Linked DNA regions of Caenorhabditis elegans. The protein of the gene in region 2 interacts with the protein of the main gene of each other region in a pairwise test. Each region holds a gene or a part of one and is shown on either strand. Other genes may lie near its edges.

Region 1 (16,255 bases), on a different chromosome or scaffold from region 2:
ATTTGTAGTCCGAGTTTTTCCACCTGCTGATTCTAGTGTTATAGCTTTTATATGACGTTTCATCCATCTGTTTCGACAATACAGTAACCCGTCGAGAATGAATATTCGGTTCTCTATTTAGCTGCAATTGAATCTTGAAAACACAAAAATTTCAAATTGAGCGAATGTGTGGCTGAGAACCAACGTTCACTCCCTTGCTATCGAAACTGCACCTGTTGCGATTTCGTGGCGAGACCCGAGGAAATACTCAATTAATAAATACAACGGTGTCAATCCCACATTGACTGATCTTGCAAATATCTTTCTTCATTGTGTCACTTTTTTTCAGAAATGCAGTTTTTCCATTAGTTTATAGTGCCCAGCGAGTAGTATATCCTCAGAAATGTTGATCCTCATGATTATAAGGTCATTATCGTTTCAAAACATGAATAGTCATAACTTTTCTCTCACAAACTTTTCGAATGTATCCTAGAACTGCTGAATCTCACAGAAACCTAAATTACGAAATCAGGTTCTAATTTTTATCAAAAATTTACAAACCTACGAGAATTCGATTTAACTTGAGAATGAAGAAAGACGCCAACTTCAATTGAAATGCACCGAATTTAGTTCAGGTTACTATCATTTGTATTCTAGATGCAAAGGAATTCACACTTCCAGCTGATATAGCGCTGATCCTAACACGATCCTTTCAACATCTTAGATTTTCGTTTAATGTTTAATCGGAATTTATATTTAAGGCCTGTAGAAATTTCCTAGAAAACGCTATAGAAATATTTAGCTGATTCTCAAGTTTTAGGAACGGGCGTCTTCCTGGTAGAAGATAGTTCGCAGCCCATAAAGACAGCACCCGGCCTAACCGACAATGGCGGTTATGAATTTTTAGACCATTTAAGGTTATGATGGCGAGACCACAACAACCCGTCGCCACGCACGTCACGCTCACAAAACACTCATTCATGCGCTCACGGAACGCTCACACACTCATGACATACACACATCATTTCGCCTCACACACCGCGCCGTCGCCATCCGCACCGCCCGGGTGGGACGTGTTCAAACTTTTCGGTTTTCGTAATTAATAGTGAGCCCCGGTTTATTCGCTTTGAGAATCAGTATAATGGATATATCAGATTGTGTAATTAGGTTGCGTGCTTGAACTTTTAAAATTAACTGTTTTAAATTTATCTGCCTTTATCGTTACAGTAAATCATTTTGATGAACTTTTCGGATGAATCATAATGAAGTACGCAGCGCTCTAACAAAATGTGTTTGTAAATTCCAATTGCTACAAGTTGCCCGGCTTATTTTTTGGTGATTGAAGCATGATTCTGTTGACGCTCCCGACGCGGAATACCAGGACGGACCGATGAGAGAGTACTGCCAGTGAAGAGACGCATGCGAGCAGGACGAGTGCTGCTCACCCTTCTTCTCAGCGTCGGCGGCTGCGACCAGCGGCCGAGGAAGGGGAGGAGAGAGGCCGATTTGGCTGCGTACCACGTTTGATACTCAGTCACTTACCACAGCTGGTTCTCTTGTGCGTTCAAATCTGGCTTGCCGCGCGCGCGCATTTTATTCCTACCAGTTTGAATCTCCCACCTCTCCGACTGTAACTGTCCTAATTTGCTTCCTTCTCATCACTCTCTCTTTGCCTATTTCTCACTATCTAGACTCTATTTTTCCAGAATGGTCACCGCCGACGAGACGGTACTCGCCACAACGACCAACACCACTTCCATGTCTGTGGAACCAACGGATCCGAGAAGCGCTGGTGAATCGTCCTCAGATTCGGAGCCAGACACAATTGAGGTGAGGAAAAGTTTTGGGAATTTAAATCTGAATAAAACGTTTTCAGCAGCTGAAGGCAGAACAGCGCGAAGTGATGGCCGACGCGGCGAATGGTTCCGAAGTCAACGGAAATCAAGAGAACGGAAAAGAGGAAGCGGCATCTGCAGACGTGGAAGTGATCGAGATAGATGACACCGAAGAGTCTACGGATCCCTCACCTGATGGATCTGATGAAAACGGTGATGCTGCATCTACATCGGTTCCAATCGAAGAGGAAGCGCGTAAAAAGGATGAGGGGGCTTCCGAAGTGACTGTGGCATCATCTGAGATTGAACAAGACGATGATGGCGATGTTATGGAAATCACTGAGGAGCCGAACGGAAAGTCGGAGGATACTGCCAACGGAACAGGTGTGTTTTATAATTTTACCAAGTTTAATTTTAACTTTCTATTTTCAGTTACTGAGGAGGTGCTAGATGAAGAGGAGCCAGAACCTTCCGTAAACGGAACAACTGAGATCGCTACAGAGAAAGAGCCAGAAGATTCTTCAATGCCTGTCGAACAGAATGGGAAGGGTGTGAAGCGGCCTGTCGAATGCATCGAACTCGACGACGACGATGATGACGAGATTCAGGAAATTTCTACCCCTGCCCCAGCTAAAAAAGCTAAAATTGATGATGTCAAGGCGACAAGCGTTCCAGAAGAGGACAACAATGAGCAGGCGCAGAAGAGATTGCTCGACAAGCTGGAAGAGTATGTGAAGGAGCAGAAGGATCAACCATCCAGCAAAAGCCGAAAAGTTCTGGACACTCTTCTCGGAGCAATCAATGCGCAAGTTCAAAAGGAGCCTCTGTCGGTTCGGAAGCTGATCCTGGACAAAGTTCTCGTTCTCCCAAACACAATATCATTCCCACCAAGTCAAGTTTGCGACTTATTGATTGAGCACGATCCCGAAATGCCTTTGACGAAGGTTATCAACAGGATGTTTGGAGAAGAAAGACCAAAGTTGAGTGATTCCGAGAAACGAGAGAGAGCTCAGCTGAAACAACATAATCCTGTTCCAAATATGACAAAACTGCTCGTGGACATTGGACAGGATCTCGTTCAAGAAGCTACCTATTGTGATATAGTTCACGCGAAGAATCTTCCAGAGGTGCCAAAAAATCTTGAAACCTATAAGCAAGTCGCTGCGCAGTTGAAACCAGTTTGGGAGACATTGAAACGCAAAAATGAGCCGTACAAGTTGAAAATGCATCGATGCGACGTCTGTGGATTCCAGACGGAATCAAAGCTGGTTATGAGCACTCACAAGGAGAATTTGCACTTCACAGGATCCAAATTCCAGTGCACCATGTGTAAAGAGACGGACACGAGTGAGCAAAGAATGAAGGATCACTACTTGTAAGTTTTTTTTTTTTCATCTTTCAATATTCATTTAATTACAGCGAAACTCATCTTGTTATTGCAAAATCGGAAGAGAAGGAGTCCAAGTATCCATGTGCAATCTGCGAAGAAGACTTCAATTTCAAAGGTGTCCGTGAGCAGCATTACAAGCAGTGCAAGAAGGACTACATTCGCATTCGAAACATCATGATGCCGAAGCAAGACGATCATCTCTATATCAACAGATGGCTCTGGGAGAGGCCCCAATTGGATCCCAGCATTCTTCAACAGCAGCAACAAGCTGCTCTTCAGCAAGCTCAACAAAAGAAGCAACAGCAACTTCTGCATCAACAGCAAGCAGCACAAGCTGCAGCCGCTGCGCAACTCTTACGGAAGCAACAATTACAACAGCAACAACAACAGCAACAGGCTCGTCTTCGTGAGCAACAGCAAGCGGCCCAATTCCGGCAAGTGGCTCAACTGCTGCAACAACAATCAGCGCAGGCTCAACGTGCACAGCAGAATCAAGGAAATGTGAATCATAACACTCTGATTGCAGGTAATAGCTAAACATATTTTAAATAAGTATTTTGTATAATTATTTATATTTCAGCAATGCAAGCGTCGTTGCGTAGAGGTGGTCAACAAGGAAATTCGCTGGCAGTTTCTCAACTTCTCCAAAAGCAAATGGCAGCTTTGAAGTCGCAACAAGGAGCTCAACAACTTCAGGCTGCGGTGAACTCCATGAGAAGCCAGAACAGTCAAAAGACGCCAACACACAGAAGTTCGAAACTTGTTACTACGCCGTCTCATGCTACTGTTGGCTCTTCTTCAGCTCCCACGTTTGTATGCGAAATTTGTGATGCGTCAGTGCAGGAAAAGGAGAAGTATCTACAGCATCTTCAGGTAATTTTAAGAAACGTTTCTATTTCAATTTCAAAACCGATTATTAAATATCTTAAACATCACATTTTCAGACTACTCATAAGCAGATGGTTGGAAAAGTGCTGCAGGACATGTCGCAAGGAGCTCCACTGGCATGTTCTCGATGCCGTGACAGATTCTGGACTTATGAAGGGTTGGAGCGGCACTTGGTGATGTCGCATGGTCTCGTCACTGCTGATCTGCTCCTCAAAGCGCAAAAGAAGGAAGACGGAGGTCGATGCAAGACATGCGGCAAGAACTATGCGTTCAACATGCTTCAACACTTGGTAGCTGATCATCAAGTGAAGTTGTGCTCGGCTGAAATCATGTACTCGTGCGATGTGTGCGCGTTCAAATGCTCGAGTTATCAGACTCTGGAAGCCCATCTCACTTCAAATCACCCAAAAGGAGATAAGAAGACATCAACACCAGCAAAAAAAGATGATTGTATTACTCTGGATGATTAATAGGAAAACGAATGGCTTATCCCGTTCTACGAATGAGTGCTGGAAACATTCTTCACAATGATCTCAATTATTTCTCTTATTCTTTACATTCAATCATTTTAAATCACCAGTTCTCCCACTTTCATTGATATACACATTCTATTGCGGGTTCCGGAACCGAAATCAATCAGTACTTTACTTTATTTCCCCAATTTTTCTCTTCATGATATCTGGTTTATTCTCGCATCTTCCCCTACCTTCAAAACTCCCTATTTTTTTTTCAAAACCTAACTACCCCACAATTATCATGTAAAATCAAATTGCAATTCCCCATAAGACAGATCAGTATACACTTTCACTTCATACGTCTGTTGTTCTCCCCCATCTCATACTTTTTTTACCATTTGTCCAGTTAAGATTTTTGGAAGATATCTATCATATAAATATTATCACCTTTACAAACCATTCTTTTTGAAACTATTTTCAGAAATAAGATTCAGATTTTCTCATAATATTTGGAGGAATCTATTTCAACAGATACGAAAGATATTCAGACAAATGACAGACTCCGTTGAAATCTGTGCTGCTGTCATCACCGGTTTTGAAAAAGTTGCAGCAAAAGAGGTAAATCCTGAAAACTAGATAAAATATCTTACTCGAGTTCCTTCAGATTTCAAAATTATTTTCGCCTAAAAAATGCCATCCAGGACGTGGAAATGTAAGATTTTCAATAGATCTGGAACGTGTAAACGAGACTCTGCAACTTCGATCAATCGATAATCTTTATATGGTTTTTTATGAAGAAACAATTGAAAAGCTGTCTGAAATGCAAAAAGAAGATGCATTGAAAACTATTCAATCGCAAATTTCATTTTGTAACTGGAAATTGGCAATTGAAGCTTATCAATTGGCACGTGGAAACGCGATTAACGGAGGAAGTGAAAAGATTTTGAAACAGATTCAACAATTTAAAAAAGATCGAATATATAGTGAAGTTACGGACGATTCACCCAAGTTTAGGTAATTTTTGAAATCAATATCAAAAATCCTTATTAAAATTTTCAAAAAAAATTAAAAATTCGAAATTTTATTGTGGTTTTAAACTGAAAAAATTTGGTACATCTCACAAAAATTACAATTCAAAATTTTAGTTTTGAAATAAAATTTCAATTATTTTTTTTCCTAATAATTTTTATTTTTCAAAAGTTATGATGACTTTTTTTTCAGAGTAACATGCAAACGATGTGGAGAGAAAGAGATTCACAAATTCAGTTCAATGGATGCTGCTTCGAAGTTTGGAGCTGAAATTAATAATGCTTTTGGTTGGAAATGTAGTGTCAAAGAGTTCGATATAGAAGTAGTATTAAGGATTGATCGGAATAATGTAAGATCGGTGTACCTGCAATTTTACAAAATGAGATAGTGTTCTCCCAATCAATGGTGGAATTTTTCGATTTTTTTCAGTGAAAATCGAAAAACGAAAATTTTTGATTTTTCGATTTTCAAAAACCAAAAAAAAAATTCAGAAAATCAACCATAAAATATGATTTTTTTTAAAATCTAATATATTGATATTTAGATAAGAAAAAACATAAAAATTTTCTAAAAAGAGGAATAATGACCAAAATATTAAGATAATTTTTGAAAATCGAAAAAACGATAAAATACATTTTTTAATTTTTCGATATTTGAAAAATCGAAAAATTTTCGCACCCTTGCTCCCAATATCTCTCATTAAAATTTAGGAATTTGCTTTATCTGAAAATAGCTAGCATTTTAGTTGGAAAAAATTTTCAGATAAATCAAATTTTTTAAATACAGTATTCTATCAAGAACTTTTAATGAAAAAAATTGGGAAAATATTCCACGCTGGCTCATTTTGTAGAATTTCTGGTCAGCTGTTTTCTTTGAATTTCTTCTAATTCATTCATATTTTCAGATGACAGTAATGATGGCTCTGAACGAAGAATCTCTATTCAAACGTAATATCTGTGCGTATGGACCAACTACAATGAGATCTACAATGTGTCATTGCATGCTTCAATTAGCTGATATAAAACCAGGAGATATTATTGTCGATGCAATGTGTGGAGGTGGCTCTATTCCGATTGAAGGGGCAATTTCATGGAAAAATTCATTATTTTTGGGTGGAGATAATCATGAGATGGCAATGAGCAGATGTCTACAGAATTGGGTAAGAAAAAACGAAAATTTGAATTACCGCGGGTTCGTCTCGAAACTCCGCCCATTTCCGTGTTTTTATCATTTTCGGCGTAAATTATTCGTTTCGTCTCGCATTTGGCGTTCGGCAATTTTTTGTCGACAAATTCAGCAAATTGCCGATTTGCCGTTTTCCGAACATCAATTTGCCGAAAGTCTTTAGAGGGATAAAACTGTGCCTTTTTAAAACATTTCCTGTTAAAATTGAAATTCCATAATTTCACAAAAAATGTGCAAAACCATAGTTTCCCAAAATTTTTCGGTAGATTGCCGGTTTGCCGATTTGCCGGAAAAATAGTTGTTTTTTTAAATTAGAAGCAAAACGAAGAATTTGTGTCGAAATTATTTCAAAAATGAGTAGATTAGCCACAATTGAAAATTTGCCATTTTTAAATAATAAATATTTTAAGTCGGCGAATTCATCGAGCTCCCGATCAAACTGCGACTTTCTCACTTGGGATGCTACAAATCTTCCACTACGCGATAATTCAATCGATGCACTTGTCACGGATCTACCGTAATCATTTCAACGATTTTTCCACTTAAAAACATTTATATTTCAGATTTGGCAAGAAGATAGGAAGTACCACAGATAACAGGTTACTGTACCCGAGGCTTCTCGCAGAATGGAAACGAGTTTTAAGGAAAGGTGGACGATTAGTCTTGATGACTCATGATAAACGGAGTTTAGGTATTGTGAAAAAACTTTAAAAACCAGAATAATTATTTAATATTTGTAGAAAACTCATTCCTAAAAGATCGGTCTTCATGGCAAACTGACGCGTCTCATGTTGTCAACGTTGGTGGATTATCATGTCTTTGTATCTGCATGATAAATAGAAAATCTGATTAGATTTCAAATTTTTAACATGCTTGTTTTGTTTATAAAATTCAATGAATAAATCAAAAATTCATTGGCTGGTTTCACATAAAAGGCACAAAATTTAAAAGTGAACATGATCAAATAGAAGACACCGGTTTGAAAAGAGAAATGGCGAAGATGGATGAGAGGAATCACGAAAATCTAAACTCGATGAATGAAGTGCAATGATTTTTTATTGTTATTATTATTGATTTTTTCGATTGTTGGTAGTTGAGCAAAATGAAATAATACCTATAAAAAATTGTTCAAATATATTTTTATTTGATTTAATACTTACTTCACTTGCATTCACTGCTTTCAGTACATCACTGTTACATCGAACTGATTTTGCTTTCGGTGGAATTGGTTGAAAGAATATTGAACTTTGAGTGGGAACGCAAACTGCACGAGTTATTCGATCACATTCGGATTTCTGAAAAAAAAAATGTTTTCATACAAATAATTTTTATCTGAAACTGAGGTAGCTACCTCATGTTGTCAACGTTGGTGGATTATCATCCACCGACTTCCTCTAGAGCCTGAAGCACTAATTTTGAATTCAATCCGTCACTTTCAAATTTATTTAAATTTTTAGGCATTTATTTAAATTTTTAGGCAATTTGGGTCAAACTGTCTAATCTTTCGTAAAAATCAAAAATGAGCGGTGCAAATCTCTTGTCAGTAAATCTACAAATCTGACTTTCAAACTACAGAATTAAGAGACATTTGAGACAAATTTTATTAGAAATTATGTGTCATTTCGTTAGAAAGCATTTAAAAGCCATGAAATACAATTTAAAACAAAATGTTTTTTTTTAAAATTTCTATTGTAGTTTTGCCAATTTCTGAAACGCAGTTTTAAAGGCGCATGGATTTATTCAGATGGGTCTCGCCGCGAGAACAAGTTTCTGATAGCGGGTTACGGTCTCTTTTTTACTTAGCTTTTATCTTCTGTAACATAGTGAACAAAATACTGGAGCGGGCACTAAAATTAACTAAAAAGTGCTACCATGTACTTTTTCTCACGGCGAGACCCACTCGAACAAAACTGTGGGCCTTTAAGAACGTGTTTCATAAAATTACAAATTCATGATATTGAGTTTTCATCTTAATAGTTGGAATATCTTATTGAAATTTGCAGTTTTGTAGCTTTTCTGAGAGAGCCTACCGCCCACCTCCTTAAAATACCAAAAAATCAATACCTCTACATCTTTGCAATGTTGTATTAGATAAGGTTTTCCAGAAGCTAAACATGGCGATGATTCTACAATTTCATAAAATGCATTTAATTCGGCTAGCTGAAAATTTGGAATATAAATACAAGATACAACTACAGTAATCCTTACTTGTTTTTTATTATGTTTCCACCTTCGAAATCTATAGACACAGAATATAGTTGTTATCAATAATCCAACTAATATGACAGGAAGCAATGCAATAAGGGAATAATCTGAAACTGAATTCAATTATATAAATTATAGTTTTAATTTAAAAAAAAGTGGTTTTCTTTGCGTCTCTGTATCTCTCTTACAGTACCTGAAACCACGTGAAGCCGACCATCGTTGACAACGAAATCGCGATGCGATGATTGAAATTTTCGAACGTCGAAAAAGTCCATCAGTGTAATTCGACGATTTGTAGAGTTTGAATGATGGGAAGTAGAATTGGAAGAGGACAGAAGAGATGATACTGTCGGCTCATCGCCCTCTTCCGGTTGACCGTTGACTTTCTACAGAAATTTCAGAATAAGAGGTCGGGAAGAGGATTTGTGGTAAGTTTTGAACAATTGATATAAGAGTTTTAGAAGTAATTAAAAGTGTCTAACTTCAGAACTATATCAGATTTTCAGTCAGAAGTTTTATGGCGAATATAAAAGTTTAAGTATTGTTGCATTCTTGAAACAAAAACTATATTTAAAAATGGAATATCACCAGTTTAATCCTAAAACGATTAACTTATCAAAAATGCTTAGAATTTCTTCATTTACAGCCAAAAAGTGAAAGTTATATTACTCCACCATTCAATAATTATAATCAAAATATAAAGATTTGGACAATTTACCAAACAATTTTGACTGAAAGTTTCAAAAATATCAAAACAATTCTAAAGTGTTTTGTTTTTGACATATTTCAAGTATGGTTTTGCAGACCTTTTTAAATTTACAACGGCTCTAAATTATCGTAATTTTGTGAAAACGAGAAACATCAGCTTAAAAGTACACAAGTATTTTCTAAGTGGGCTTCACCACCATCTTCGAAATTCAGATTACGTACATACATAGTCACATACTCAACTCCAAACTAAAAAAACTAAATTACCTCACTACGTTTCCTCGGAATATTCCGATTCATTTTAGTTGAAGCAGGTGAGAAATCAAAAGAAATAATAATTATTTTTTCAGAATGTGTCCATTTTGGTTTCAGTCTCTTTATGTTTGAAAAAGAAGAGAAAATGCACCTAGGGACACGGAAAGATATCATATTTCTAACCAAATAGGACCACAGAAAACCAAAAGAAGGAGGTCGCTTTGTATGAAATTGGAGTGAAAAAATGCTCTATGGAATATAAGTTTTTAAAACAGGTGTTGTCAATTTTGATTTGTTTGGAAGAAAAAAACCATTAAATAATATCGAATAAAAATTTTGGATTTTACGAATTGGTAAAACTGCAACCCGCAAATACTCAAAGCTGCTCAGTACCAAACGTAGGAGAACTAATCAGCTTAAAATGAAATGTCATAAGCAAATGGCATAAGTCGTGTAAATTAACTTTCTATCCATGTAAAACCAATACAATAAAATTGGAAATATAATTTTAAAATTTTAAGATCACTTGTTTATTTAGTTAAAAATTTCAACAATTAGATGAACCAAAGATGCGAAAAAGCATTAAAACCATTATATGGGCGGAGTCTGTTGAATTTATGTAGAAATAGAAATGTCTTTTTTTTCAATGGCAAGCTATTAAAAAGTATTGGAAAAAATTGAAAAATACTCCTGTTATGTTGAAAGTTGAAAAAAATTAAAGCAGGCACGACAACTTGGATTTTTTAAAACGTGGTGAGCATGTTCATGAGTCAACGGAAATTGATTTCACTTCCAGAAAGAAACATTGGGCTTGATACATTTTCAAAAAAACCCAGAAATTTAAAGTTTTTAAAAGTTTCTCTGGATTTCGTTAAGCGACATTTTGACTTTTTAAAATTTAAATTATAACACTCACTTCATCGATAAAGTTTTCAATAGAATATGGTTGATAAATCATAAAGGAATTGGGAAAAGTGTTCATTATTGAAATAACTATTTTTCCATTTTGTTTTGCCCATCGGCAATAACTTATTATTTAGAGATGAAAAGTTCGTAGAGAGACGCAGAAGAAAAAATGAAATTCAAAGTCCCTATGGGTAATTATTCTTGGGAAAAGCGAAGCTAAAAAGAAGGAAAACGATGATAATGAAGTCTGTGTAGAGACCGGGGGGCACCGCCACCAACCACCCGAACACCAAAAATTGTATAGGAAAACGGAGGAGTTTGACGTCAGATTTGTGTTGTGTCTCCCGTGTGTACAAGGTGGGAATGAGGATATAAGAATAGAATAGAGTGGGATGGAAAAAAAGGAAAGGAGAATTTTGATATCAAAAATAGAAGTAGTTGGCGAATGCGTTTTTACAAAGAAAAATAGCCATCTTTCGGCTCCTTTGGTTCCGGAAAAATGTGGTGGAAAACGGACGATTTATGGGTTCTTTTGAATGGCATTCAAGAAAAGGAAAAAAGGGTGAATAAGAGAATAAGAGAAGGAAATGAAACGATGCAATGAGAAGTCAACTAGAAATTTATGGATCAGGACTTGAAATCTAATTATCTAGTTTGATCAACAGTTGACAAGAATTGGAGACTCTTTTTTTGAGCTTTTCAGAATTAAATACAGAAAGTATAGCACAGTTTTTTGATAGTTTGGGATAAAAAACAAAAATCGTCTTCGATTTTTGACCTAAAAACAGCAGTTGAAATTGGTGAAAAAAACTTTGGATTTATTTTGAATTGAGCTGAGCTAAAAACGATAGTACTGTAGAAACCAAAAATTAAAAAATATTTCAAAATAGATATTTTTTATAAACTCGAAAAGTGTTCAAAGTACAGAAATTGTGTTTTTTGGATGTTTTAATATCGAAGAGCCGTAGAAAAAGTATTAGTTTTAATCAAGACACCAAAAAATGCCCTGCTCTGTTTGGCATCACCACAGTTTTTTCTATTGAAAATGCTTTTAAACGTTCAAGTGAAACGATTAACAGCTTCCAAGCTTGAAACGAAATAATGACCACAATGACCGCTTTTGCACACACTAGAGTATGGGGTATCATTAGGAAAAGAAGAGCATTCTATTGAAAGTTCCGTTAGCAGGCATACCTATTTATAAATAGACAGCACGTTTTTCTCGCTCATTTGTTTGCAACTTTCCCTTTAATTTTGATATGCTAATTTCTTATTCGGTTAATACGGAAAAAAGGCCATCGGAGCCATATATACATTTAAAAAAATATTGCAAAGCTCTCGGACCAATCGGAATTTTTATGCAATACTGATTTTCCAGCTGCAAACATTACCAGTGAAATTTTTGATTCACTTTTTTTTGAAATAAACAAGTGGAAATATCACGTCTACCAAAACGTCTACCAAAACACAAAAAATATTTAAAAAATCTTACCATAAAACATTTCCAGCAAGTTTCGAATATAGCGCCACCCAGGACCATTTCTTTTTGTTCAAAATGTCATATGTTATTCTGTTTTCTATAGGCTTAAAGAAGTTATTGGACGCGGGAAAATAGAGAGTATATGGGGGAAGTAAGACTCTGAATGTGTCGTCGAAACAAAAGCCCTAACGAATGTCTTGGCACTATCGAAAGCTGTCTCGCGTTCTTTTTTGACTTGGTCCGTCCCCTTCCCTACCCAAAAAAAGAGAATGCAATTTAGCAATTAATCTTTTTCATTCTAGTTGATTGAAAGGGCTCTCAAAAAAGATTGAGTACTCTGTGGAAAATACGGAAATTTCAATTTATCGATGAAAGTTTAACTCATTTAAAAATGTTGAAATCTCATTTTTTAAATTTCCACAGTAATCTCTCTAATTAACTCTCAAAAAAGAACAAAAGATATGCGATATGTTGAAATTGAAATTTTTCACTTGCAGAATTGAGAAAAACTTGACTGACGTTGTGCAACAACATTTTTTTAAATGCCTACGTGCCTGCCTTTCGCTTGCTTTCTGTTGTTCAACTAACCTGGTTAAATTGATCGGTGTTGTCAAAAATCGTCTTTATTTAAAACTTTTATGGCAAAAATTAAAAGTTCGAAACAAGAAATTAGTTCAGTTTCTAGGAAGGAAAAATAATAAAATAAGAAAAAAGATCACTATCTCATATTTCATTCATCTATTCTTCAACTTTTTGTTGTTTCTCCGAAGAGTTCGATACGAGCACACATAAATAAAAAATAATGAAAAAAAAAAGAAGAAAGATGAATTAATTTTTTGCATTTGCGGGTGCCCGACCCCTTATTTGAGTTCAGTGAGAAATTTACAAATGGATAAAAAACGAGAGAAGTTTGATTGGGGGAAAACACCTCTCGGAGCAGGAAGCAGAACAAAATTGAGTTGGATGGAAGCAGAAGGGGAACGAACGGATACAAATTTAGACAAGGAACATAAATTTTCAGAAGAACAGAGAATAACATTCAGTGCTTTCAGTTTTCCTGTGCTATATTTTAACATCCGTTTTTTTCATAAAATTCGTAATTCAATGATGTCATAAACTTTGTTAAATTTTGGAACAGTTAAATTTTGAGATGCTATAATTGTGAGTGTACCCGGAAAGAATATTCCCACAATTGACAATTTCAACCTACAAAAGTCTGCTGGAGATTCAGTTTTTATTAGCATGAAATTTCACGAATTTTTAAATTTTTAAAAAGAAGCATCCGGCTCGTAAGTTTACTGTATCTTTTTGTAACGACTTTACTATTTCTTGAACAAAGGTGATATTGAATAATTTAGATTCAACTTGAAAAAAAACTTTAGGAAAAAAGTTTTAAATAAATTATCCTACAAATCCGCAAGGATTCAGGTCAAATGTTTTAAAAACCAATTTTTAATTGTCAGATTCATTTTTAGAATGTTTCTAAAAAATGATAAAACTTACAACAACTTTGCTGGTAACCATGATTTTAGTAGAGAATATGAAGAATTTTGTGTAAAATAAAACTGACGTATCCTTTTCGTCCACTCAAATAAAATAGCCAAGAGATTTCGAGTATTTTTGAAAATAGGTCCGAAAAAGAAGAAAGAGACGGAGAGCAACAACTTTAACAAGTGTTTTTTTCCTTTTCGGCTCTCGCTTCATTAGTTTAGGAGTGAGCTTGCCACCGAGCTTTTTCTGGGCCAAAAAACTCCAATTTCTCTTTTAAAGAGATTGTAGATTTCCTTATATATGTGAAAATGATATTTAAAGTCATAATAGGAAACAAATGAAAAACGGATAAAAATTCTCTTTTTTGAATTGAACACAAAAAGGAGTGGGTGGGGGAAAGAATTGTGAAATGAATTTTGAAAACAGATTCTCAGAATTGGGAGCGGGAAATAGGCAAAACTGACTGCCAGACAACTATAATTATTTTTACCTTTTTCCACTCAAAATTTGTTGTCTGTAATTTAAAACACAGATCAACGCATCCGTTATATTTTCAGGATTTTAGAATATTTCAGAAAGCCACAGGCTTCATAAATTTCGAACTATTTATATCACTTTTTCAAAAAAAAAAAGTGACACTCGAAAATGCAACGAGCGTACATGTATATTCAAAAAAAAAATTTCAAAAATAAATTGCAAACACAGTTAATGTAAGTTTACTTGCGAATCTAGCGAATTTTGTTTCATGTTTTAAAGACTTCCCGTAGCACCTTCCCTCGCCTTTCGCCTGGAAAACGCCTCGAGTGAAGAGGCGTGTGAGAGGCGCCCTTACAACGCCTCAGTCAGGTGGATTTTTCAGTTTTTTTTTTTGGGAAATTAAGTTGAACCATGTTAATAATCAAACTTTTTTTCTGAAAAATTCACACCTATTTTTTCGAGAAAATTGCCAAAATGAACAAACAAAAAACTCAATAATGAAGAAAGAAACAACTATTCTGAAAACCAAACATCATGTTGTTCACAAGCTTTTCAAAAAAGAACGAATGATCCATTCTCAATTGGATTGAAAAATTTAATAACACAGATCTTTTTAGAGATAAAACGAACAAAATTGTTTTCTCTATTGTTCCGGAAAGAGTAAAAACTTTGCTAAAAAGTGAGTAAGTGTTTAAAATGTCGTGTCCCGAATGACGACTAATTAGACATTTTTCCCTGTTTCTCCTGCTCAATTTTTTCTTTTTTTGAAAACTGGTGAAGCGAAGAACGGAATAACAAATCGACCTCGTCTTTTTCTTTTTTTCGTTATTTTATTTTATTGTTGTTCATTTGTTTTTCTGAGCAATCCTTATTTTCTTTTTTTCTTTCTGATGTTCTCGGAAAGAAAAATGGGAAATTGGATGATGTTCTCAATAATTTAATTCAGAAAACAAACAACGCATGGCCTTTTGTAATCAAATTGAATTTCAGTTGGAAAAAGGACAACTTGATCAACAAATATTCAAAGTTAAAAATAAGGTCGTATTATAAGTTCGTTTCCATTATAGACAGACATTTCTTAACGCCTGCCAATGTGCCTACCTACGAATTTTATTAGAACCTATAGTTTTCTTGCGGAGGAGAAGGTACAAAAGTTGCAAATTCATGTTTGAACGATTGCACAAAAGTCAATTAATGACGCTCTAGCGTTTTACGCAGGCCAAATAATTAAAACATCAGACACACAAATTCAGAAATTAGGCGATAGGCATAAGGTGTCCCTAACATGGGAATCACACTATAAAATTAAAAATATTAGGAAAATTGTCTGTGAAAAAGTTTGGAATTTCAAGGGAAATAATTATCTCAAAAAATTTCTTATGAAATTGAAAAATTGGAGATATGTAGAACAAATCGATTTTTGAAATTGAACAAAAACTCCTATGTTAGAATTTTTCCAGTCTGTGCAAAATGTAAGACGTCAGAGCCGTGCAGCAATTCATTTGTCACATACACACACCAATACGCTCTCATTCCTTCTCAACACACACACGAAAATAGTGCTTAAGGACATGATTAAAGAGTCATTGGAAGAAATAAGGTCCCATCTCTCCTCTAAAAGCAGAAAAAGCACTCGATTACCAATTCAGATGACGATAGGATATAAACAAACAAAACGAATTCTTGAATTCATTTTGTAGTAGAAACGAGGAACGTTTTTTTTTTTGGAAGTAAGGATTAGGAATTTAAAGTCGGAAACTGTTTTAGAAAATGTTCAATGAGAAGATACGATATTTCGGACAAGTTTGAAAATCCGGTGAACATAATCAACCGACGAGGGTACAAAAAATTCAATTCAAAATTAATTAGAACAATTAAGATTTAAAATATAAAATGCCATGAAACCCAGATCTCTCGTTAATCCTAATTTGAGCTAAGGAATTTGATATATTATTGTCGCTTTCAGTTTCAG
Region 2 (14,883 bases):
GTGCAAAAATTTAAAATTTAAAGGATCGTGCACAACGTGTGGTCAAAGGTCTCGGCACGATTCATACAATTTTCAAATTAAAGGTATGCGCCTTTAATTGAAGAAGAGAGATTACTGTAATTTTTTAAAGTTATTTTTCGCGAAAAATTGATAAATTGCTGGAAAAGATTTGACTTTACTTGTAAAAGCATAAGTTCAGAATTAAAATATTTTTACAAGGTCCAGATACAAAGATTGTTGCTCTTATTATGACAATTTTCTTTGCCCTAATGATATTGTGTCGTTTCTCCAAACAAAAAAACAAATCAACAAGAACCATTTATATTTAGAAGAAAAGCAGCACCGTGAATATCAATCAAATCTATCGGGATTCACGCCAAGCTCGGAAATGTTCATCGGTATCGTTGAGCACTAGATAAAAAATTTAAAAAAAAAACCGATGGACACCTTTTGAAAACTCGGCACTGGGAACTGACGTTTAACGCTTTAAAACACATAAAATCGGAGCAAAAAAATTGGGGAGGGAACAGAGGACGTTGGAAAAGTGCACCCGGGATGAGAAAAAACGAAGAATCAAAATCAACATGATACAACAATAATCTATTTAACAATTACCTGAAAAACCTTTCTTTTAAGAGATGAAAATGATATAAAAACTAATAGAGAAAGAATTGAACTGTAAAACTGGGAAGAGAACAATGGAGGGAAGCGGAAATGATAAAGACACCTGAGAAAATTATTATTTCGCATCGGATGAAGATCAGTCCATAAAATGATAAGAGAAAGGCCAGTGATGACGATTTAGTCCGAAAAAGCTTATTCCCATTCGGTGGTGCCCGGTGGCTTACAGGTCATGTCCAGAAGAACACGAGAGATACCAAGAACATTGGTTCTGATGGCCTTGTCCATTTCAATAAGAGTCTGAAATATAAATTGATTAGAAAAAAAAACAAATGTTTGTCGAAAACTAACCTCTTCCGGTAAGTGAACTCCTGGAATCGCAGCCTGACCAGTCATAAAGTCCGATGTGACAAACGGACGAAGAACAATCGAGTGCCTGTATGATCCAATCATATCTCTATCACGATCAAAATCAACAGGCAGAAGGACGACTGGCATCTGTTGAATTTTGTGCCCAACATTTGGCAGCTGCGTACCATCCGAAGCAGCGACACGTCCGAATAGAATATTATTGGCGATGTGATCCGCCATTTGAAGTTTAGTGACAATGTGTGGTACAAGATATGTTCTCGTCAGGTCCTCGATCGAAAACTCGATTTTTGATCCAAATGCGTAGACGACTCGATTGACTCCGTGGAACAGCTTCGGGATGACTGAAGCATACGCGAACAGGAGTTTCCATGGAATTGGTCGTTGCTCGGTGGACAGTGCAACTGCATACGAATAGGATCTGGCATCTCCTTGAACACCGACTGTTTTGATTGGAAGAATGTGAGCACTGATTTGGAAGGTTTGTTGCTCGGCGAGTTGGCGATCTCTTTCAGACAGTGATAGTAGAACCTGAAAAACAGAAATAATAGACTCTGGATATAGTTTTCAATAGTGACAACTCACATTGTTCCGTGCCTGCTCGAACTGCAGGTGTTCATAAATTCCTTGACTTGGATTAATTGCAGAATTTAAAAACTGCTCAGTAACATCGATAATTCTTCCTTGCACATCTCCATTATACATCGGACCGTTGAACATCAACTCCGGCCTCTTATCTGATGCACAAAGAATGCGAATCGCAAGACCAGGTCCTGGGAATGGATGTCTCTGCACAATACTTTCAGGCAACCCAAGATCTTTTCCAAGCTCTCTGACTTCATCTTTGTGGAAATCTTTCAGCGGCTCCACAACTTTTCCGAGTTTTCTCAGTTCTCGCACCAAAAATGTGTCATTGTGATGAGTTTTGATAGTGTCCGCGTGTCCCGAAGCAAGAGCACTTGCACTTTCAATTAAATCTGGACGGAGAGTTCCTTGTGCAAGGAAATATTCATCATGATTGATATTCAAGTCCTTCATAATCACATCTTTTACGCGAATAAATGTATTTCCAATGATTTTTCTCTTCATCTCCGGATCATCACACTCATCCAACGCAACTTCTCCATCCTTGCAGTGTTCTGTACTGGAACGGAACGTTGTGCCGAAGTTATACCCTGAAATTAATTTTTTTTTTTGAATTAAAAAAATTTTTTTAAACTCACTGTGAATCGGAAGATCAAGCGCCGCAAGACTCTTCTCAACAGCATCACTCTCCTCATGACGCATGAATCCATTGTCAATATGAATTGCTGTGACCCGATTTGGTCCAAGAGCACGACGGAGCAACGCAGCACAAACAGCCGAGTCGACACCTCCAGACACCATTACGAGTACCTTCTTGTCACCGACAATGCTATTGATCTCCGAAATACACGATTGCTCACGGTTTTGAATAGTGAAATTTCCACAGCATCCGACAACTTTGAAAAGGAAATTCTCGAACATTTTCGTGCCGTTGGTAGTGAGATCTACTTCTGGATGAAACTGGACACCGTACAGCTTGCGGTTCTCGTTACAAATTCCTGCAAAAAGGTTTTGAGATGAAAGTACGAATATTTGATGAGGGGTTAGAAGCATTGGTAAATATTAAAATCAGAAAATTATTATTTAATTTTGTTTTTTTTTGTTTTAAAAAAATGTGAATAAAATTTTCAATAAACTCACCAGCAACATGATGGCCACTTTTGGCCATAACTTTGAAGTCTGGAGCCACCGTAGCCTCTGATACACTGTCTCCGTGAGTTAGCAAGACAGTTTCTGTTTTGTGAAGTCCATTGAACAAATGAACGCTCGTATCGACTTGAATTTCACATGCTCCGTCTTCTCTGATATGCTCTCTTGTTACAGTTCCTCCATTGAGCTTATTCATCAACTGAAATCCGTAACAAATTCCAAGAACTGGCAATCCACAAGTGAAGATTTCTGGATCGATTGACGGGGCTTCTGGTTCGAATACCGAGTTGGGACCACCAGAAATGATGATTCCCTTGAATCCGCCAAGCTCGATGAGTGTACGAGCTGTCGTGTTGAGTGGAAACATCTCTGATTGTACGAGAAGCTCGCGAACACGTCGATCAATAACTTTTCCATATTGTGCTCCAAAGTCGAGGATGGCAATGCGTTCGCCACTTGAAACCTTCTCAACTGGAAGATTCTCGACAAGGGTGACGTGACTTCCTGAAGCTTTTCAACATATTAGTTTTTGTCTTAATTATGAAAATGTGAGTGAATACAAAAATCTAATACAAAAAAAAAGTTATTTTATTCTAAAATCACATTTTCATTGAAATTATCTACTTACCGTTCATATTGGCACTATCAAATCGATCTTCTGGCGCCTTCTTCGGTGGTGGAGCTTTGTTCTGAAATATTATAATTCTGTATGGTATGTATTTTCGGCTTTTTAGAGCAAAATTTGAGAGCTTGTTAAACGTGGAGCCTGCTGACATGCAGCTGCCAAGGCAGATGAAATGAGAGTGAAAATGGCTGAACTGTTAGGAGATAGTGAGAGACGCAGGGCATAGAGTGCAAAATAAGTTGGAAAGAGCAGCTTTTTGACTAAAACTGGCCTGAAAAGTCCGAAAAAAGTAGCCAAACATTGCTAAAATCTAAAATTACTCCAACTTCTCCTAAATTATTATCCTGAATTGCATCTTTTGGTCATTTATCTCTAATTAATTCATTGATTTAGGCACATTTTAAGTAGATAGGCATCAAAATTGGACGCCTACCGACTTAAAATGTGCCTAAATCAACCAAAATATGCAATAAAAGGTGATAATTTCATAAAAACAGTATTCCTCAATGCTTTGAGTGGCTCAAAACCGAGCATCGGGCGGCTTCAAGAGTAGGAAGAAGATGACAGCAAAAAACAAAGAAGAGATAGTTGAAAAGTTCTCTCAGCACAGAAACTGAAATCAAAATCAAACAATGTGAGAGAGAGCGAGAGAGTGGTGAGACGTAGAGATTGAAAAAAAAAGAGAGAAACAAAACCAAAGGGAACCTTTTGAATGACGACAAGAGGAAAGGAGAGAGCAGAACCAGTGCTGTAACAGAGAAAAAGAAATAATGACGAAAAAGATAAAAGTCAGGAGAGAGAGAGAGAGAAATGGTGGAAAATCATATTAAAGATAATATTTTAAAAAAGTGCTGCTGTACTTGGAAAAATTGCAAAATTTTTCAACTAGACCCTAGTTTCCTAGTTTTCCAGCATTTTAGTGTTCGGCTGGGAGAATATAACTACGATTTCGTCGAGGAGAATTTTCTACCAAGAAAATATATTTTCCAGTGAAAAACGCTTATCCCATGAGAAAAACCAAGGAATTCTCACTGAAAATTGTGATAAATAAGACAAAAACTGCCAACAAATATTAAAATATACTCGGTTTTTAGACGAAAACTATCAAGAAACGGCGCAGTAATCCTGAAAATCAGATAGAAAGTTCTAGAAAAGCCGGTATAATCTGAACTCCACGTCAATTAGGTCACCTAGTTTCGATATATCACTGGATTAACGTGAACATTTTTATTTATTTAAAAAGAAAACCCTTCAGGTTACAGGAAAATTAGCTTTTTTTCGCGAAAAAACATGTAATTTGAGCGCCGAAACATATGGTGGAACCCCCCTTGAACAGAAAAGTCGGCATGTGGCTTTAGTGACAACTGATCTTTTGTCTTCAGAGGAAGATATTGTGATTCTAGAGAACTTTGAACTATTTGGAGTCGGAAAAAACAGAATGTAGTTGCGGAGAATGCAATAAAATTGCAATTATTTCTTTTCTTTTATAGTGACGATTTCAGGGAAAATTGTAAAAGCCCTTTGCAGCGATAAAATAATTAAATTCAACGAAAATTCAAAAAAGAAATCCATTAGCAAAGCGGCAAGATCAAAAGAAAAGTACAAGTTCTGACCGTGGAATGTTGACTGTCCTCGTTGATGTCCAACATTGAACTCGATCTTTTCATAGTATGCTCACTGACTTTCGAGACGGCCTTTGTTCTTTTTGCACGCTGAAGCTAGGTTATAATGATTTGAAGTCAATGGAAAGTGGAATTTTTTGGCAATTTATAATGAAAACCTCCTTAAAACGCACGTTTAAACGTTGAAAATGCTTTTTTTCGTTTTTTAACGTTGAAAACCAAATCGGGAGCCAATTTACAGAAATGTGCGCGAATTTTCACCCAGTTTTTCAAAATTTTCACATTTAAATACTCACTTCAGATGGAAGGTTGCGGCAGTGACGTTTACTCTGACGCGCTCCAATTTTGACTCGTTTTGGCTGCAATTACTGAAATAACAAAATTTAGTGGATTCGGTGTTTTCTCGGAGATGAAGCGATGAGAATGTACAGAACACGGATAAACTTGCGATGAAAATTTCATGTCAATTAATTTAAAATTAATTTTTTCGGTTTATTAACATAAAAATTGACGGAAAAAACTTAAATTTAAAAGCTCGAAGAAAAAAACAAAAATTTGAAGAACTCTGGCGAAACGCCAAAAGCTCGCGGGTCTCGCCGCGATTTGCCGACGAGAGTGACTATGGGTACGGTGGAGGGACGAGAGAGTGAGAGAAACGGAGTGTAAAATCAATGAAGTGGTCGCTCCGTTTCGCAACTTTCCTGCTTTCTAATGGCTTTTAAAATATATTTTTGCGAAATTTAATCTTATTTGTGAACTAAAAAATCATTACCCAATCGTTTAGAGTCTTTTTATGTTTTTAATAGGTTGTAACGACTTAAAATCTGACATAAAAGTTTATTGTTTCAGGGAGCACACCCACATCCGGCTCGAAACTATCAAAAATGGTATTTTAATAAATATTTTAAAAACAATTTATAATAAATATTTACCAGGGAGAACAACAGCTCGATTGTGCCCTCGACTTGATGCGAAGACTTCCTCCACAACACTGCGACAAGAATTTGACGGACCTCATCGATCTGTGCCCTCATCTTGTTGATGATCTTCTCAGTATGTTTCCTTTTTAACTAATTTAAAAAAATTCGCTTGATGGTTTTAGGCACTATCGATCAACCGCTGAAAATCGCCGCGGACCGTGAGACCGGCAAACAGTATTTGCTTTGTGACTACAATCGAGATGGCGATAGCTACAGGTATGAGTCATTTTATTTGAAATCTATCGATTTTTTCTGATAATTCAGATCACCATGGAGTAATACCTATGATCCACCACTCGAGGATGGACAATTGCCATCGGAAAAGCGCAGAAAAATGGAAATCGAGGCAAATGCCGCTTTTGAGTCATACCGTGATTTGTAAGTTGACAGAAAAATCATATATTTGCTCATAAATAATAATAATTTCCAGATACTTCGAGGGAGGCGTCTCATCAGTTTACTTCTGGGACTTGGATAATGGAGGTTTCGCCGGAATTGTGCTCATCAAGAAAGAGGGAGACGGAGCCAAAAATATAACAGGATGTTGGGATTCTATTCACGTTATTGAGATCACGGAAAGAGTTGGTTCAAAAACTGTTGAAGAGTTTTTTTTTTTAATTTATAATTTTCCAGGCACGCCAGGCTCACTACAAGCTCACCTCCACTATCATGCTGTGGCTGCAGACAAACAAAAGCTCCAGCGGTGTGATGAACCTCGGTGGCTCCCTTACAAGACAGGTTTTGGTTTCGAGTTGTGAATATATTTAAAAAGAAATATTATAGCATGAGATGGATGCACCAATCAACGATCAGAACACACACTTGGCTAATATGGGACGAATGATTGAGGATCAGGAGTCGAAAATGCGTCTGACGATCAATGAGATATACTTTGGAAAGACGAAGAAGGTAAGCAAAATGCAAATTTATTATATGAAAAAAGTTTCATTTTTAAAAAGTACAATTTTCGAAAAAAATATTTTCCAGGTGATGTCGGATCTCCGTTCAACAGAGAAGCAGAGTGAGCTCGAGAAGCAAGATGAGATCGTTCGCGAGTTGAACAACGCCATGGCTAACCGCGGAAACTGAGTGATCTATCTACATTTGCAGCTCAAAATCTCTCATTTTAATGCTTTATTTGCGAGTTTTGTATATTTATCTACCATAATACCAGCTTGTTTCTTCTTTTAAAACCTTTTTTCATTGCCTTTTCTCGAGTGTAAACTTTTTTTCTAGAATTATTAAAATCTCTTTTCCCACAATTTCTCCTCGCTCCAAAGTGTATGTGCTATGGCTTTTCCACAATTTATTACCAAAATGCCTTGATGTTCCTTCCGAGAAGAGCTTGAGCTTTTCCTGGACCATTTTCGTTCTAGGTGCTCGTTCGACTGTTTTGTATTTTGCAATGTAAATTATCCTCTTTAAGATTACTTTTCATTTCAATTATATTTTCGATGAAAGTATTTTATTCCTTAAATTTAAAAAAAAAGAGAGGGTCTTCATCACCACTTTGAGAAATCTCCAAGGCCTGCTCTTGCAAATTTAGTTTTCTTTGCGGCCTCCAAGGGTACATCTTCCATTTTTCCTTGTCGTTTATTCACAGCTGCGGCCGACTTCATGTACTTGCCGACTCCAGTTCCAACTGCTTCTGGTTTTGTTGCAGTTTCTTTAGCTTTTTTATTTGCTAATGAAGCTGCGTCCTTAGAAGCTGAAAATAGATATCATTAGTTTTAAAATTAGTAATAGAATTAAGAAACTTTTCTTCAAAATCTCTGCTCTCTCAGCTTGAACTTCTTTCTCAGCTTCTTCAAATGGATCCACAAATACTTCAGCTCTCATAATAACAACTGAAACCATCGGAACATCAGTTCCCTCTTCAGTTTCCAACTTTTCAATCGTCGTTAGTGTATCCTGTCCTCCAACAAGTCTCCCAAAAATTGTGTGCTTTCTGTCCAAATACTTGCACGGCCGGAATGTAATGAAGAATTGTGATCCGTTGGTGTTAGAGCCCTTATTAGCCATCGAGAGCACACCTCGAGCATCATGGGAGAAACCGGAGATGAATTCATCTGAGAATGGCTTATCCCAAATTGATTCTCCACCATGTCCTGTACCAGTTGGGTCGCCTCCTTGCAGCTGAAATTTTTAATTATTTTTTGTTATAACTTTAACTATTTTTATAATAAATTTACCATAAAGTTTTTAATTAACCGATGAAATTTGGTGTTATTATAATATCCATTCGAACAATGTGTGATGAAGTTTTCACAGGCCTTCGGAACTTTCGGCGCGAATAATTCCAGATTCAATGGCCCAAAATTTGTAACAAGCCGCACAAAAGCATTTTTCTTAACTCGGCTGTACCGAACTGTATCATTATCCAAAACAGCTGCTTTATTGCTTGTAACTGGAGCCATTACAGTGGATGTGAATCCAGCTGCGACTTTTCCTTGACTATAATGTGCTGCATTGATCTCATCGGCAGTTTCATCAGTTTCTGTGGAGCTCTTCTTTGGGACATATTCCTTATCCAATTGATCAAGAACTGATTTGCAAGCATTATTCATTCGTCGAATGTAGAATTTTGGATCTTTCATTGCATCTTTTTCTTTTTTAATCTCTTCTGACGTCTTTAAATCAAGCTTCACGTGTAGAAACTGCTCCATATTGAATTTTTCCAAATGATTTGGGTCTTGAAGATCAATTATATCAGCTCTTGTGAACGGAACATCGGTTAGAAGATCCTTGAGATGATTTCTTTTTAAATTCAATTCTTGCACGGCTTCATGAGAATAGACGTTTCCGGAAGTAGCGATGGCCAGAATATGACTGTGGTCCGTGAATGTTCTGAATGTAACTGGGCATCGGAACTTTCCATCTTCTCCTTTATCGAATTTCAAGTGGATTAGATCCTTGGCAACCAACGGTTTTCCTGTACACGGGTTTTTGCCATGCTTCTTCAAGTAAGGAACGATAGCACTGAAAATTTTTTAATAAAAAGTAAAAAAAATAAACAGAAATTTACGTTAAATCGAAAATTTCTCCTGATCTTGCGCAAACTGGGTCTTCAAACGGTAGAAGTGACAGCGAGCAATGGTTGATGGGTAACCTTTTGAACTGTGCTCTTTGGAGTCTTGTTCCAGTATCTGAAATATGAAATTAAATCTTGTTTTTATTTATAACTCGTGTTTAAATAAAAACCATCTTTATGTCCTCCAATCGATTTCCATTCAGAAGTGGTCAGATAGAGTTTATCTTTCTGATGTTGCTTTTTTCCCATTTTATCTGAAAATAATACAAATAAATACTAGTTACATTTATGTAGTTATTAAGCTTAATTAAAATGCCGATTGTTAAAAATTGCGAAAACAAATCGGCTCGTAAATCTACACGAAAACCTAGGCCGGCGGCCGCCAGCCACCTCGGGTCTCGCCACGATCACATGTCGATTTACGCGCTCAATTTCATTGACTATTGACGTGGATTATCTTGTTTCTCAATGTTTTTCCTCCATTTAAATTGTTTTTCAGAGATAAATTTTTAATTTTATAGGTAATATTAGCAAAAGAGAGGATTTGCAATAAGATGGCAGACTTTGACACTGTAAGTTTCATTTGCAGCTTATTATTGAAGTTTTTTTTTTTTAACTAAAAAGCGAAATTTCAGAATCCAACTTCTCTGTACAGTATCAAAGGAATTGTGATTCTTGATCAGGATGGAAACCGTGTTCTTGCCAAGGTTTGTCGTTTATTTCACAATTACCATACAAAAAACTCGAAAAAATATCGATTTTCAGTACTACGACCGTACAACCTTTGGAACTGTCAAGGAGCAAAAAGCTTTCGAGAAAAGTCTCTTCTCGAAAACTTCCCGCAACACTTCAGGTTTGGCTGATTTTTTTTTGATGAAAACAATAAAAATTAAACATTTTAAGCCGATATCCTGCTTCTCGACGGAGTGACTTGCTTGTACCGCTCGAACGTTGATCTGTACTTCTACGTGCTCGGATCGACCCGCGAGAATGAGCTTTTCCTCGACGCAACTCTCACCTGTCTCTACGATGCTGTGTCTGTCGTTCTTCGCAAAAACGTCGAGAAGAAGGCTCTCATCGATTCCATGGACACTATCATGCTGATTATTGACGAAATCTGTGATGAAGGGTTATTTTTTTTTATTTCTAAAAGTATTCAACTGATTTAAAATAATTATTACAGAATTATCATGGAAACTGACGCCCAGGCTGTCGTCCAAAGAACCGCTCTCAAATCCGACGAAGTCTCATTCTCCGATCAATCCGTATCACAAATCGGCTTCTCGTTCATGAAATCTGCCAACGAGCAGTTCAAATGGTCTCTTCTCAAGTAAATGGAATTCTATAAATTATTTAATTTAAAATGTGATATTTATAATCTCTCCAATACTCTTTTGTGAATTAAAATGAATAAACCTCGGATAAAATGGTGTTTTCATTGTAAAAATTGTTGATTTTGTGCTGTTTTTGTTGAGTTTTTGGTTCGTTTTCTTAACGCCTAACTATATTTTCAGTTTAAAGCTTAACATTTCCTGCATGAATCTAAATATCTATTTTTCAATTTTAATTTCAGAAAATGCCACGGCCAAAAATTTTGAAACGAGCAACTGTCCAGCCCAGTGCCGCCGTTCCTGTGAAAAAATCGACTCCAGAAAAAGAAGGATCCAGACAGAAAAAGACGAATGGAAAAGAGAATGCTTCTAGAAATTTGCAATCAAATTTAGAAGAAGATTTGGAACAACTGGGCTTCGAGTATGTATCTATTATCCAGATGAATTCTTGAGCAAAACCGGGTCTCGACACGGCAATTTTTGTTGAAAACAAAACGGGGGTGCGTCTATAAGGAGTGCTGTATTATCACAATATGTGTTCTTAAAGGCGCACAGATCTATTCAGGCGGGTCTCTGCGCGGAAAACAGTATCGTAGTATTTTCTTTTTCTTTAAATTTTTCCGGTTTTTTAATAGAATAATAGAAGGAGAACTAAATACAAAAAACGGAGTAATTTCTTGAAAAATGAAAGTAAAAAACTACCATAAAATTTAAAAGTTTTTCGCGCGCCGAGACTCATCTGAATGATTCGGTGCGCCTTTAATAATGGTAGGCCAAAATTTCGTTGCGGAATTTCCATCGATTTTTCATTGTTTTTTGTTAAAATTTTTTTTAAATAAACAAAAAACTAGGATAATTAAAAGCGCATGAATTTTAACGAACAATCGATAAAAATTCCACAGTTTGAAACTACAGTACTCTTTAAAGGCGCACACCCGTTTGTAATTCAAAAAAAATTGTCGTGCCGAGACCGGGAATTTTGGCGCAAAAATTAGAAAATCTTCCATCTAGCTAAAAATAAGTACATTTTCGAAGCAAATCAATCATTTTTCCAGGGATGAAACTGTATCAATGGCTCAATCAGCAATCGAAAATTACTTTATGCAAGGAAAATCGGCGTCAGAACGAATGAATAATGCGAAATCCCGTCGTGGAAGACGTGCTGGAAATGGAAATACTGAAGAAATTGAGGAAGACGATGAGATCAGTAATGCTATCACTGATTTCACAAAATGTGATCTCCCTGGACTTCGAAATTATATTACCAAAAAAGATAACACGGAATTCGAAAAACGATTGGAGCATCTCGCGGATAATGATTTCGGAAAATGGAAGCTTTACCTAGCAGCTGGATTTAATATTCTTTTGCACGGTGTCGGTTCGAAGCGTGATGTTCTCACAGAATTTGAGAATGAGCTATCCGATTATACATATATGAGAGTGGATGCACGGAAAGATGGGCTCAATGTAAAAGTTCTTCTTGGAGCTATCAATGAGAATATGAAGCTGAATTGTAATGTGAAGAGAGGCCAATCTACGATTAGTTGGGCTCGATCTATTCGCAGAAAAATGAATAGCCAACAGTTGATTCTTATCATTGATAATATTGAAGCTCCTGATTGGAGGTGAGGGGAATTCGCTTTTATTTATGTATAAAAAATTAATTTTAATTAATTTCAGAAGTGATCAAGAAGCATTTTGCGAACTTCTTGAGAATCGGGATTCGGTGAAATTGATTGCTACAGTTGATCACATTTACTCGACGTTCATCTGGAATTCGGTGGGTATCTAAAATTTTAATTTTCGAAAAACAGAAAATTATATTTTTTTGTTATTTAAAATTATTTTTTTCTGTAGAAATTTATATATTTTAGTATGTTTTTTGTTCATAAATATAATAAAAATTTGACAGAGAGAAAAATAAGAGAAAATAAGAAAATCTTAAAAAAATCGAATTAATATTTAATCTGAAAACGGCAAAAAATCGAAAAAAAAACAATTTTGAAAAACAGTCAAATTTATGGCAAAAAAATTTTAAAAAAATCGCTACAGTTGATGGCATTTACTCGAATTATAACCCACTAAAAACATTAAATTTTTGAAAATAACGATTTTTAGATTTTTTTTTAGATTTTCCGAAAAATAGCTTTCAAATAAAATAAAATATATTGTAAAAATGTTTAGTCAATTTTCTTTTGAAATTCTCAATTTTTCCGGAAAAATCAAACAAATTTTTTCTACTTTAAAAAAAAACAAGAAAAATTAGAAAAAACAAACATTCTTAAAAAACATTTTTATTAATGCCAAAAATATGGTTCTAAAATGAAAAATATTTATTATAAACTTTTTTGAAATAATTTTGAATTAAAAACTTTTTATTCATAAAGGCATGGTATAATTTTAGAAATGTAACAAAAAAAATTGTAATTTTTCTATTCTAAATGTGTTTTTATAATTTGTATTTGAATATTCCAGAGGTTCAAAAATATTTTAAAAATTAGAAAAGTTATTTCCAGTTATTTATCTTTTTTTATTTCAGCGTCAACTATCATCACTCTCATTCGTTCACATCACAATCAACACCTTCGAAATTCCACTTCAAGAATTAATGACTGGAGATTCTCGTCTTCTTGGTCTTGATGCTCGTTCGAATCAATCCTCTCATACAATGTCATCGCTTGATGTGTTCTGGAAATCTCTTGCCGTCAATTCACAAAAATTATTCCGTCTCTTTTTCCAAATGTACTTTGACACCAAGAAGCCTGTCAAATTCTGGGATTTGTTCAATGCGGCAAAGTGAGTGGAAAAAATAAATTTTTTCGATTTTTCAGTTTTCTTAAAGCAAAAAATTCAAAACTGGGAATATTTGAAAAAAAAATTCGATTTTTCCCCTTTTTTAAGCATAACCAAAAAACGGAAACTTTGTTTAAAAAACCGAAAAAATCATAAATAATAGCAACCTTTAAAAAACTTTGATTTTTAGAGTTTTTGAGCAAAAAAAACTGAAAAACTAATTATTTTTGATGTTTTTGGTTTTGGGCAGAGCGGGAAATTTTTTTAATTGAAAATACCGACAAAAAAATCTAATTTTTTTCGATTTTTCAATTTTTTAAAGGCCAAACCGAAAAACCTGCAAGCTTGCACAAAGGATGCCCCGAAATATTTTTCGATTTTCGGTTTTTTTTGTGCACAACCAAAAAATTTGAAAAAAAAACCCAAAAACACTAATTTTCGTTCAAAAAAACCGAAAAAAATCTGAAAAAACTTCAAAATTGGTAATTTTTTGAAATAATTTTTTTTGTTTTTCGATTTAAAAAATCCTAAAAATTCCAGAGATGATTTCATTGCTTCAACTGACGCTGCTCTTCGAACCCAACTTGTCGAATTCAAGGATCATCGGGTTTTGAAGTGAGTATCCCCCCCCCCCCCCCAAATAGATAAATTCTCATCTTCCAACCAGATGTCGTTTGCTTATTCAAATATTTCAATTTCAATTCCAAAATTTCTCCAGGTGGACCCGTGGTGATGACGGAAACGATCAGCTGTCGGGCATTGTCGAATTACGATTAGTGACCGAATTTCTCGAATCGAAGAACATGCCGTTAGACGAAAAGAAAGACGAGTAGCTGCTGCTACTGCTGGAGGACCTCAAAAATGAACACACTCTGCCTCCTTTTGACTCAATGTATTTACCTTCAATTGTTTTATTTGTTGACTCTGCGCCCCCCGTCCGTCCGTCGATGCTTCTTCATCCCATTTTTTTTTACTTCAATTGAAACCTCAATCTTCACTTACTCTCATCTGAACGCTCATATTTAAGGCAATAATTTTCATTTTCAAATATATCAATTGAAACCTTTATCTACCGTAATACCAATTTTGTGTACCTTTTCAAAAATCTCATTTCCCCCTCGGTTTTTTCTTCACGATTTCTCAATTATTTTCAGTTTCTCACTATCAGTTTCACATTCCCATATTTGAATGAATCTCATTTTCCAAGTTTTCCCTCTCTCACCATCAAAAACCAAATCCTCTCCCTAGAGTTTCATGGATGTAGTAATATGATACTCTTTCCTGCTCGCCTTCCCCCCAAAAATGGGCTCACAGGTGCCTTTGTTCTAGCTTTTTTAATTGGAAAATTCGGATTTTCCTCGCACATTCTCCCCTAACTTTTTTGATAGAAGCTTTTTGAAATGACAAAATTTTTGTGTGTCTTGGAAGTTTTTGTGTCACTTTTTTCTGTCAAAAATGTCTCCATAGAAGCTCGCAGAGATTAACGATGAGCACTTCCGGCCCACTAGGCTCAGAAGAGCAGTATATCATGTTCCTTTTCTCTTTTTTTTTGCTTGCTGACTCAAGTCAATCAGTATTTAGGCAACAAGGACGAGAAGGACTTTGAATATTTGAATGCGATGAGCATTTTTAAACTTTTTTTTGTTTTTTTTTCATATTATCGCTCTCAGGAACAAGAGAATTTCGAACTCTACAGGAACTGGATCTCAATATTATGGGGACGCAGAACGCGCTCCACGGCCAATTGGAAATGCCCCGCCCCGGAACCATGGGTCTC

The links.
Region 1: the proteins of cyn-4 (region 2) and mep-1 interact in binary tests that used the Caenorhabditis elegans proteins (3 or more experiments, as listed by UniProt).

Annotation. Positions count from the first base shown.
Region 1 is NC_003282.8:11,522,957-11,539,211, forward strand, and holds mep-1 (MOG interacting and ectopic P-granules protein 1), read left to right. Parts: upstream 1-1,685; 5' UTR 1,686-1,686; coding exon 1,687-1,809; intron 1,810-1,855; coding exon 1,856-2,198; intron 2,199-2,246; coding exon 2,247-3,189; intron 3,190-3,233; coding exon 3,234-3,730; intron 3,731-3,784; coding exon 3,785-4,077; intron 4,078-4,148; coding exon 4,149-4,562; 3' UTR 4,563-4,998; downstream 4,999-16,255. Other genes in the region: thum-3 (THUMP domain-containing protein), read left to right, coding at 5,100-5,165, 5,212-5,561, 5,769-5,925, 6,481-6,735, 7,172-7,278, 7,325-7,452, 7,502-7,614; M04B2.7 (uncharacterized protein), read right to left, coding at 7,786-7,875, 7,922-8,056, 8,826-8,921, 8,970-9,079, 9,160-9,352, 10,846-10,911. UniProt on the Caenorhabditis elegans protein: Has a broad role in development, specifically in the genetic pathway SynMuvB that negatively regulates specification of the vulval cell fate. Required for fem-3 3'-UTR-mediated repression in the regulation of the sperm/oocyte switch.
Region 2 is NC_003280.10:10,863,376-10,878,258, forward strand, and holds cyn-4 (Peptidyl-prolyl cis-trans isomerase 4), read right to left. Parts: upstream 9,237-14,883; 5' UTR 9,232-9,236; coding exon 9,153-9,231; intron 9,098-9,152; coding exon 8,977-9,097; intron 8,931-8,976; coding exon 8,144-8,930; intron 8,088-8,143; coding exon 7,709-8,087; intron 7,660-7,708; coding exon 7,454-7,659; 3' UTR 7,404-7,453; downstream 1-7,403. Other genes in the region: gmps-1 (putative GMP synthase [glutamine-hydrolyzing]), read right to left, coding at 817-921, 973-1,521, 1,576-2,165, 2,214-2,573, 2,716-3,234, 3,353-3,413, 4,963-5,016; cap-2 (F-actin-capping protein subunit beta), read left to right, coding at 5,856-5,858, 5,907-6,024, 6,074-6,167, 6,216-6,329, 6,382-6,532, 6,585-6,689, 6,735-6,860, 6,939-7,040; copz-1 (putative coatomer subunit zeta), read left to right, coding at 9,537-9,554, 9,618-9,689, 9,748-9,835, 9,886-10,111, 10,166-10,316; orc-2 (Origin recognition complex subunit 2), read left to right, coding at 10,559-10,734, 11,369-11,938, 11,994-12,093, 12,853-13,109, 13,647-13,721, 13,825-13,939. UniProt on the Caenorhabditis elegans protein: May catalyze the cis-trans isomerization of proline imidic peptide bonds in oligopeptides thereby assisting the folding of proteins. May also function as a chaperone, playing a role in intracellular transport of proteins.